Linked DNA regions of Drosophila melanogaster. Changing the gene in region 1 together with any one later gene gives a genetic interaction. Each region holds a gene or a part of one and is shown in the gene's direction. Other genes may lie near its edges.

The links.
Region 2: of Patronin (region 1) and Klp10A, changing one suppresses a phenotype caused by changing the other (phenotypic suppression), as found in Drosophila melanogaster (one study listed by BioGRID).

The regions. Positions count from the first base shown.
Region 1 is NT_033778.4:17,532,572-17,537,609, reverse strand, and holds the start of Patronin (patronin), read left to right. Parts: upstream 1-1,743; 5' UTR 1,744-1,916; intron 1,917-1,960; exon of another isoform or gene 1,961-2,548; 5' UTR 2,549-2,754; coding exon 2,755-2,784; intron 2,785-5,038. Other genes in the region: eIF3b (eukaryotic translation initiation factor 3 subunit b), read right to left, coding at 1-540, 599-914, 1,031-1,145. UniProt on the Drosophila melanogaster protein: Key microtubule-organizing protein that specifically binds the minus-end of microtubules and regulates their dynamics and organization. Involved in mitotic spindle assembly. Regulates microtubule (MT) severing.
Region 2 is NC_004354.4:11,133,843-11,138,788, reverse strand, and holds the start of Klp10A (Kinesin-like protein at 10A), read left to right. Parts: upstream 1-1,670; 5' UTR 1,671-1,922; intron 1,923-2,010; exon of another isoform or gene 2,011-2,693; 5' UTR 2,694-2,872; coding exon 2,873-3,909; intron 3,910-4,946. Other genes in the region: CDK2AP1 (CDK2-associated protein 1), read right to left, coding at 1-732. UniProt on the Drosophila melanogaster protein: Required during anaphase to drive sister chromatid separation to promote flux by actively depolymerizing kinetochore microtubules at their pole-associated minus ends, thereby moving chromatids through a 'poleward flux'.

The DNA.
Region 1 (5,038 bases):
GGTGTCTCGTAGATGTGGATCGAATTCTCGCCCATGCGGGCCACAAACTTGTCGTCGTGCGACCAGCGGAACATAGAAAGAACCGACATGCCATCGGCAACAAACGAACGTTTCTCGGCTCCAGTGCGAATGTCCCAGATGATGATCTTTTGGCCCGTGGGTGTCGGTCCGTAAGTCACTAGGTAATTCTCGCAGGGCGAAAACTCAACGAATTGGGTACCAGGATGGGGAAACTTCTGAATCTTCTGGAAGCTACTGCCACCCCAGATGGCCACACCGGGTTTGTGGAAGGTGACTACATAAGTACCCAGGGGCGACCACTTGACGAAGGTGTCGGTGAAGCGTTCGCGAGTCTCCAGCTCAAAGGGTTCGGGCAATACGTTTTGCCAGAAACCAACCTGCACGCAGTTGGGAGCGGTCTCCGCTGCCACGCAGTACTGGTCATAAGTGTCCGGGTCATTGATGAAGTTGTATAGATCGCTCTGCACTTTGAAGGTCTGCACGGTTGGCGGCTCCCACTTCTCGGGGATGTTTTCGTACCTGCCAAGATTAAATTTTATTAATCTCATTGCTTGATGCGGATGCAAGGAGAACTTACTTTTGGAAATCGGTGAAGAGATTGACGGCAAAGGTGTGGTTTTTGTCTAGGCGATGATTGTTGAGCTTCTTGACGGCTTCCTCCGCCTGTCTGGCCTGCTTGTACTCCATGAAGGCGTAGCCCTTGGTCTTGCCCTCCTCGTCGACGGGATAGACCACATTGACGATTTCTCCGTAGTTCGAAAACAGCTTGTTGATGACCAACTTCAGCTTCTCCAGGCGCACCGGCTCCACCTTTGGGATATTGTCCACTACCACCACACTCTCGACGCCATCGGCCTCCGAGGGGCGCTGGGCCAACATGTCGCCCAGCAGATCTGAAAGTGCATCACGAATATATTTAATTAGATATGCAAATGCAAACTTTCGCACACCGCACACGGATTGAGGTTAGATCGCCGCGTGTGATGCGCTGGCAGTCGGTGATTTTCACCTTCATCACTAATGTTGTCCACGAACCCGGGCGGATCGTCAAAGTTCGGCTCCTCCTGGTAATCACTGTCGTTCGCATCCGTACCGGAGTGCTCCTCGCTTTTCTTCTTGGCCATATTCAGCGATCTATTTGCAATTTTCCGTCATTAAACACACAAGCACAAAGTGAAAAAGGAAGAGCGAGATGCCGCATTTGCCAGTCAAGGCGAAACACTGTTTTGTGTGAATGGTTAGTGTTGCCAACTACTCACTGCGTTGATAACGCGGCGGGGTAACTTTTATTAATATTTATAAATACATATGTACATGCATATATTTTAATTTACTGTTTCTTAGATTTATTTGTATTTATACTGCATATGTTTGCTTGACAGCAATGACAATAATATCTGGATCCTTCTCTTATGGATCCTTAACAACAGAATCTTAGGTGCTTATCTGGTGATAATGTGTTAAAACGGCTAAATATTATCATTTTGTATTTCATGTACATACAATTATTTAATATTAGTCAATATGTATTAAGCAAAGTATAACCTATAACAACTAGTTTAATCGTTCTTTAATAATACATACATTTTTTCCGCTTGCAACTCTAGCGATGGAAGTTTTGAAGCATGTTCAACCGATTTTTTAGAATTAGGCATCAATCGATTTGTTGCCGATAAGCCAAAACCGATTGCATCGAGTAATCATCGGCTGGGGTTCCATCTCTCACATGAAAATTTGTAAGATTTTAGAGCAGATCGGTGTCCGTGATTTTCTCAATTTAAGCCCAATTTGTAGTATTAAAGCTGTTGAAAAATGCAGCGGGGACGAGCGCGAACCGTGTGAAATGCATGCGAAAGTCGTCGGTGCAGCAAATCAGTGCGAAAAACATCCCAAATGTGCGTAGGCCCCACACTCACTCTCGCACACACACCCGCGCGCACATACACAGCTTTTTCGGTCACCACTCGTTCGCTGTGGGTGCGAGCAGTACCACACTAGCAGTGTCGCACACCAGCACTGCCAGTGCAGCGGGAGCGACAGAGAGGCAAACAGCGGGCGGCGGACAACAACAGTGCGAGGCGAAGGAAAATGTTTTCATTTACTTAAGTCGGCGGTTCCCCAAAGAAAATTGGAAACTTGCTGGCTTAAAACGGATTGGGAAAACATTAATTATACCATGGACGGGCGGTTGAACACTGCGATGGGTTGAAAAGTGCGTAAATGGCTTGTCCAGACGAGCAAATCGCAACAGCTGATGCAGCAGCATCTCGAGAAAAGCGAACAGGCAACTGTAAAGTGTTCTCTGTTATTGTCGCACTGCAGCCCCGCCCCCGCCCACCACCCACCGTCGCGCTCCGTGAATGATTCACATTTTCTTTCGGCTGCCCGCCTGCCTTTTAAGCTTTTTCCCTGCCCCGCCCGCCGAAAAAAATTCGCTGACAATGCGTGTGCGCAATTAGTTATTTTTCTCGATTTCCAAGTGGTTTGACAAAGTGCCAATCGTGTTTTTGTATTTTCTTGTGTTTAGGCTCCAAGTGAAAATCACCTAAGCTGAGGAAAACTCCAAGCCACACTCACACACACACGCACTCGCTCGCACGCAGAAAAGAGACAAGTGAAAAAGGAAAAGCGGTGTGTTGTGGTCAAACATAGAGTGCGAAAAGTGCAAAAAGTGCGGAAAGTGAAGTGGCGGGCGTCGGAGAGCCGGAGTCCGTCGCAGGAAAATCCGTCAGCATGGATGTCGAAACACAGGAAATACGACAGGTAAGCGCAGCAAGAGGGCTTCCCGTGTACAAAGTTACACATAAAATAAACTCATATTTGAGCTAAAAACAAAAAGCACTCATTAACATTCCAACGGAGGCGAAGCGGGCCTAAACACCTACTCTCTTGGCCAAAATGGTGCGCTGAGGTAATGCCGCTCGGCAACTTAGCGCTTAGTATGCGACCGACACCTACTTACCAATCGACTGGTTTCGATGGCCAATGCAAACAACTACAACCGGTAGTTGTGTGGGGTGTGCTTGTGCTGATCGGAATATAATGCCAGCAGCCAACATCCATTCATAAAACTGCAGCTGAAAAATCGAAGCCGGAAAATACGCTTTACCCCTGCAAGATTAGGCATTTGTTATCGTTTTTCTCGCTTTGAGCTGGCCGCTGTTGCATGACCTAATCGCTAAATATGAAAAGAAAAAACAAATAATAAAAAAAAAAAAAAACGGCTTACGCATGCGAATGCCAGGCGCAAAGGGAGAAACGCTAACACTCTGCTCGGCGGTTTGGGGCCTTGCGTGTACACCGACTTTTCCCCCAGACAACTCCCTAGAAAGTCGCGCTGGAGTCTCGTTCTTGGCCAGCAAAAACAAACAGCTAGGAACCATAACGCGAACCGAACCTATGGCTAAACCCATTCAAACATTCAAACATCCAAGCGCTGACTCAAGCGGAGCACTCTCTTCTTGCCCGCTTTCCTTCATCAGCACTCTTTGTTATATTTAGCCGCAGATATCGCTGCCCATTCTCTGGAATGCCAAAAACAAGCAACGTTCGGCTAGATAATGAAATCATAAAGTCGCGCCAATTTCAATTTGTGACATTTGAAAACCACCAGCAACTGAAACTTTATTACAAACATGTGATGGAAATGTTTGCGGCACAGAGAAAAAACATCTCTAAACTGAACAACAATAAATCATCATTATATTCATTTTTAGTTTTATTTTCTTAAATATAACAATTATCTCAGAAAACACTAGTTTATTAGCTTTCTAATTATTACTCCCTCAGCAACCTAATTCTCATTAAATTAGATTGTTTTTTTTTCGTGTGTATTTGGATGCTTGAATACAAATATGCTATCCATCCATCCATCCATCGTTCGTTTATTCATAGTGGGCGTCCAAAGCAGCACTCATTTATTGTTTTTCTTCGAATTGCCTGCACGGTCTTTTGAAATTTGAGTTTTAGACATTTTTCCCCCGCGAGTCAATGCAAAGTGCAGCCAGAGTTTTTCCGTTTCGTTGGCCATTCAAATTATGTTGCGGACAGTTTCTTGCTTTTGGTGGAAAGCGCTTCGCTGGGCAAACAGGTTTTCCCTCCACCTGTTGACCAATTCGCATAGCTGGTCGGTCTACGACCTACGCCAATATTGTTTTCCCCGCCACTGCACTTTTCCCCCCTTATTCAGCTTGAATTATTTATGGCATATGGTTACAAGCATTTAATCCAAAAACCGCCCAAGAGCAAATTCTTTTCAACTGGCTTTGGGTATACAAAAGAATCGAACCACTTTGGTGAGATTCTCTGACATAGTTATTGATGACTTCATGCAACGATTTTGTAAGAAACCCGTTTGAAAATTATGGAATGAAAGCCAATAATAAAGACAGCATGGAGAAGTCAATGCATTGCAGCAAATACGAAAGGCACGCCGAAATCAAACTGAGTTAATGGTAATTGATAAACTTACCCCTCGAAGTTTTACCTTATCTCCAACTGTTGCTGTCTCATGTTTACTTTCTTATTTATTGTAATCCCACTAACATTAAAATGGGGGTCTCTATAAAATAAAGATAAACACCTACATCTTATCGGACACAAGCACATGTTTTATAAGTCTAGTTGGAACGTATTTTGCATTGGACTCGACCGATATAGAACCAATTTCCGCATCTGCAACAGCGACAGTTTCCCTCTTGAGAATTTATTTTGATTGCTTTTCCCCCATTTTCAATTAGACCAAGAAGAGGCCATTCGGAATAGAGCAGAATTGTGATTATGAGTGCAACAAGAAATGGGTTGGCTGGCGAAACATGGCCGCACTCGAGATGATTCTAAAAACGGAGCAGCAAAGAAGGCAGGCAGGCTGTGCGACTGCCCCGCTAGTGGAGTCTTTCATGCTGAGTGACCATCCGACCAGCAACCCCTTCACCACTACCCAGCCACTCCCTTCCTGGCCCCAAAATCCAAAAGAGTTTGGGGGGGAAAACAAAGGAAGCCGGCTGGCGTTTGGCGG
Region 2 (4,946 bases), on another chromosome or scaffold:
CCGGATATCGCGGCCCATCTCCTCAATGACGGCCAGCAGCTGGGCGTACTTGGTCAGCCCATTGCCCGGGCCCACTGAGGGCAGGCTGGCCGTGGAGGTCAGCGGCGTGGTGATATTGGCCGAAGTTTGGGTGGTCACCACCACGGGCGAGGTGGAGGGTGGCGGGTACTTTAGCTGCGATGAGCTCAGATTCAGGCCCATGCTCTGGCCATTGCTGCCAGAGGAGGTGGAGGAAACGCCGGCACCGGAATTCCGCTGACCACCATTGCTGGAGCACATGTTGGCCAGCGAGAGGGCCGCAGCGGCGACGGCTGCCGGCGTGGCCGTCGTGTTCGACTGCTGCTGGAGTAGCGCCAGCTGGGCCTGGAGGAACTGCGGGGAGTATTGGAGGGCAGCGACGGCGGCGGCAGCTGCTGCTGCATTGGCCGCTGCAGCGGAGCTCTGCTTGCTGGACGAGCTGCTGTAGTCGCTGGCGGAGGAGCGGTCCCGCTCCCGCTTGCCACCGCTGCTCGTGGAGTAGTCGGTGGCAGCGTTGGATGAGTTGGATCCGCCTCCTCCGCCAACGGATCCACGCGAGTGGTGGATGGCCGATATCTGGATTTGGGGCTGCTGCTCGCGCTGCTCCCGCTGCTGCTGGTAATTGTAGAAATTCTGCACTTGGCTGCGCGGTATCGGTGTCACCGTGACGTCACTCAGCTTGGACTCTACGGCCTGGATATCCATGATGTCCATGGTGGCGCTGGGCGATGTGGTGTCTGGAGTCGATATCCGTCGGTTGTTGTGGTAACTTAACTATGTCCACCTTTCCGTTTTCCTGGCACACAAAACTACTAGTTTTTAGCGTTTCTTTTTTGGTTTATTGTTTTTTGTGATATGATATCGATATCGATATCAGGAGGCGTTATTACGCTTTCCCTTCAACGCACAAACAAATACACCCCCACCAACAAAAGTCGATGGTTCGGATTATAGTATCGATAGACAAGCGCGATGCAAAGTGCCCACCTATTCGCGTCTCGAATGTGGGTGTTTCCACTGTACAAGCAATTTGTATACATGTGGAAAGCTCTTTGTCCAAATTGGTAAATGGCTAAATGTTTTTGAAAAAAAGATAATTAACAACCATAAAACTACAAGAAAATTACAAAATTTAACCCAAGTGCATATGTATACATGAATGACAAAACGGTAAAACCATGCAAATGAATAACCATCCACGTCGAATAATACCTAGTTCACCCTGATAAGGCACTCCCAATTTGTCTTATTAAACAGCTAATTTTGTTAGGGCTTAAAAATACCCAACGTTATGTATGTCTAGTGTTGTCTAGTTTCGGGGGGCGGAAAAGCCAATTGCACACAAATATACAAAGTATTGCCGAAACGTTGATTCTTTCAATAAATAAGGCACATTTTAATGAACTTATGCTTATGCCAACAAAAGCGGTCGCTTATTTTTATTACTTATTGATATAAATTCCAAAACAGCTGACATTTTTAACGGTTACTTTGCCTAGTGTTGGCCAAGACATCAATCTTAATAATAAACTCTCAAGTTGTCAAAATTATACTTGTATTTCTACTAAAAAGTCATAAATATACCCAAAAACTACTTAGCCAATAGTAACCCTGCTTAATATGGATTTTATTCACTTATTAACACGCCAATTGTCTCACTTTTCAAACACAACGGCTGATTGCCAGCACTGTTTGCGCTGCAGTCCAGTGCTGCGCAACGCGGCGGGGACAAAAAACAATGGCGAGGCGAAACTAAAAAATTGTGTTGCTGACATCTGGTCGCTTGCAAAACTATTTCTAGCAGATTTTGTGATATTTCGTTGTGATCGGTCGATAAATCCGCCAGTTTTTTTTTTAATGGAAAGTGCTAACACATTGTAGCGGTTGGGAAGATAGCAGGAAAGGTGAGCGAAAGGCAGAAGATTGCGAAAAATTCAATTAAATTTCCGCGACCGTCTGTTTTCTGCATCGGTGTGTGTTTGTGTTTGCTCGCAAGTGTGTGTGGGTGCTCTGTGTATGACGTAAAGCGATAAAGCAAACGCATTCCCCCCACTCCTTGCATATGTGTGTGTGTGCAAGTGTTGTGTTTCTCTCTCATCAGTTTTGCATCTAATTAGGAGCGGAAAGCATTGATTGGCTGCCAAACGCCGCGGTTTGTTGTTTTTTTCGCTGCATTTCGGCCAAAAGGCTTGCCGCAGCTGCATATGTGTCGCTATGTGTGTGTCAGTGTTGCACAGTGCCGCCAGTGCCCACAAAATGGGCGCACAACAACAAAAGCAGCAACTCGGTTGGGATTTTCGCGATCCTACGCTGGCTCGGAGCTCCCCTTTTCCTATTTCCAATTCCCAGCCAGCGGGCTGCCGTTTTTCCTTTTTGTTATCCGTTGCCAGACGCAACGAAAACGACAGTTGGCATTTGAATTCAGCACAAACACACATACTAACGCCGACCCGCAAGCAGCACACACACACACACTGGGACACTCGAAAAAAAAAAAACAGACGCTGTCGGCGACCTCGACAAGCAGTTGGGTTCGATTTAGTTGTCAATGCCTTGAATTCGGTTCGGGGCTTAGTTTCCACAAGTTTATCGCTCGTCAAGAAACAACGAAATAAAATTATTTTCGACCTAAAAAATCTGACTAAATTGTGTTTTTTGTTTATGTATTTATTTAGGCACATTTTGCACACCACAACGTAGTTACTACATCTACGACTAACGGAACTCCTCCTGCAAGCAGTGGAAGTTGCTGTCCATCAAGCAGTACTCGGAGTTAACGCAGGATAAGCCGGGAGAAAGAGAAAGAGATCGGTGGAGAATAGAGATATACAGGTGGAGTCAAAGAGGAAGGATCATGGACATGATTACGGTGGGGCAGAGCGTCAAGATCAAGCGGACGGATGGCCGCGTCCACATGGCCGTGGTGGCGGTGATCAACCAGTCGGGCAAGTGCATCACAGTCGAATGGTACGAGCGCGGCGAAACGAAGGGCAAGGAGGTAGAACTGGACGCCATACTCACGCTCAATCCGGAGCTAATGCAAGATACTGTCGAACAGCACGCCGCCCCGGAGCCCAAGAAACAAGCCACCGCGCCGATGAACCTCTCGCGTAATCCCACACAATCGGCTATCGGTGGCAATCTCACCAGCCGTATGACCATGGCCGGAAACATGCTGAACAAGATCCAGGAAAGCCAGTCGATTCCCAATCCGATTGTCAGCAGCAATAGCGTGAATACAAACAGCAACTCCAACACTACGGCCGGCGGAGGTGGTGGCACCACAACGTCGACGACCACTGGATTACAGCGTCCACGGTACTCGCAAGCTGCTACCGGCCAGCAGCAGACAAGGATCGCCTCGGCGGTGCCTAATAACACATTGCCCAATCCCAGCGCGGCAGCCAGTGCTGGTCCGGCGGCACAAGGAGTCGCCACTGCGGCCACAACCCAGGGAGCTGGCGGCGCTAGTACCCGGCGATCGCACGCATTGAAAGAGGTGGAGCGACTGAAGGAGAATCGCGAGAAGCGACGCGCCCGACAGGCCGAGATGAAGGAGGAGAAGGTGGCGCTGATGAACCAGGATCCGGGCAATCCAAACTGGGAGACGGCGCAAATGATACGCGAATATCAGAGCACGCTGGAATTTGTGCCGCTGCTCGATGGCCAGGCCGTCGATGACCATCAGATCACAGTGTGCGTGCGCAAGCGTCCCATTAGCCGCAAGGAGGTCAATCGCAAGGAGATCGATGTCATTTCGGTGCCGCGCAAGGACATGCTCATCGTGCACGAGCCGCGCAGCAAGGTCGACCTCACCAAGTTCCTGGAGAACCACAAGTTTCGCTTCGACTACGCCTTCAACGACACGTGCGACAATGCCATGGTATACAAGTGAGTATCCAATCCAAATAACAAGCTCCAAAACAACTCCATATATGGTCTGTTTGAATTACTAGTAGTGATTCTAAACAAACGCTCGATATGGTGACCACACATTCCAATGTCTTGGGGAGGCTTCTTCAATTACTAATGCGTATCCTTGCTAGCAAACGGCTTTATTTCAATTGAACTGAACTATAGAAAATCTTATTTCGTTATAGATGACCCTCTATAGCTATCATTCAATCTTAAACCTAATTTGTTGATGCAGTGGAATCATATATAGTATAAAGCAGCATATCCTTTAAAGAAATCATTGCCCCATTTATCAGATTTCCATCGAGTAACCAAATGTGCCAGTCACTTTTCGAGCTCGTTTCGTTGGCGCATCTCTGTTAGAGCGACCCATTGAGTCATGCCGACAGAGACGGCAACAGAGCCACACACATGCATCATGAAAGCGGTTGCTCCCGAAATAGCCAAGTTCGTTGAATGACTAACTTGGAAGCCCCAGACGCTTCACCTGCCCCCGCCCGGCCACTCCGTCCGCCGATCTGCACACGAGCTCTCTAAACCCAATTCTCCAGCGGAAGAGATTTCGAAAAAGTAACTGCCTTGTGGCCCGGCATTTGTCCATTAGCAATTGTTTGGCTTCAATTGAATTAAAGCTGCTACGGCTGCTGCTGCCCCTTTCCTTTCTCCGCCAACTTCTTGCTTAGCTTCTCTTTCCGGTTTTCGCACTCGTATGTATTGTGTGGCTGTCGGGAATTGGTAATGCCATTAGTTGCGTCACGGCAATCGCTTAAGTATAGCCCAAAAAGTATACCCCATGAGTAATATAGCCCGGCATTAATGCACAAAATCTCGCCGATGATAACGTAGTCTCGTGTTGACAAATCCAAATGGGTGAATCAACTGCTGACATCGTGCGTTATCAATACTCAGTATTGGCAGAAAACAATGCAACTTACACATTTATTGATTACATTTCAATATGCGTTCCTTAATTAGTCGTATGTATAATTCTTATCGATAATCATTTTTACTAA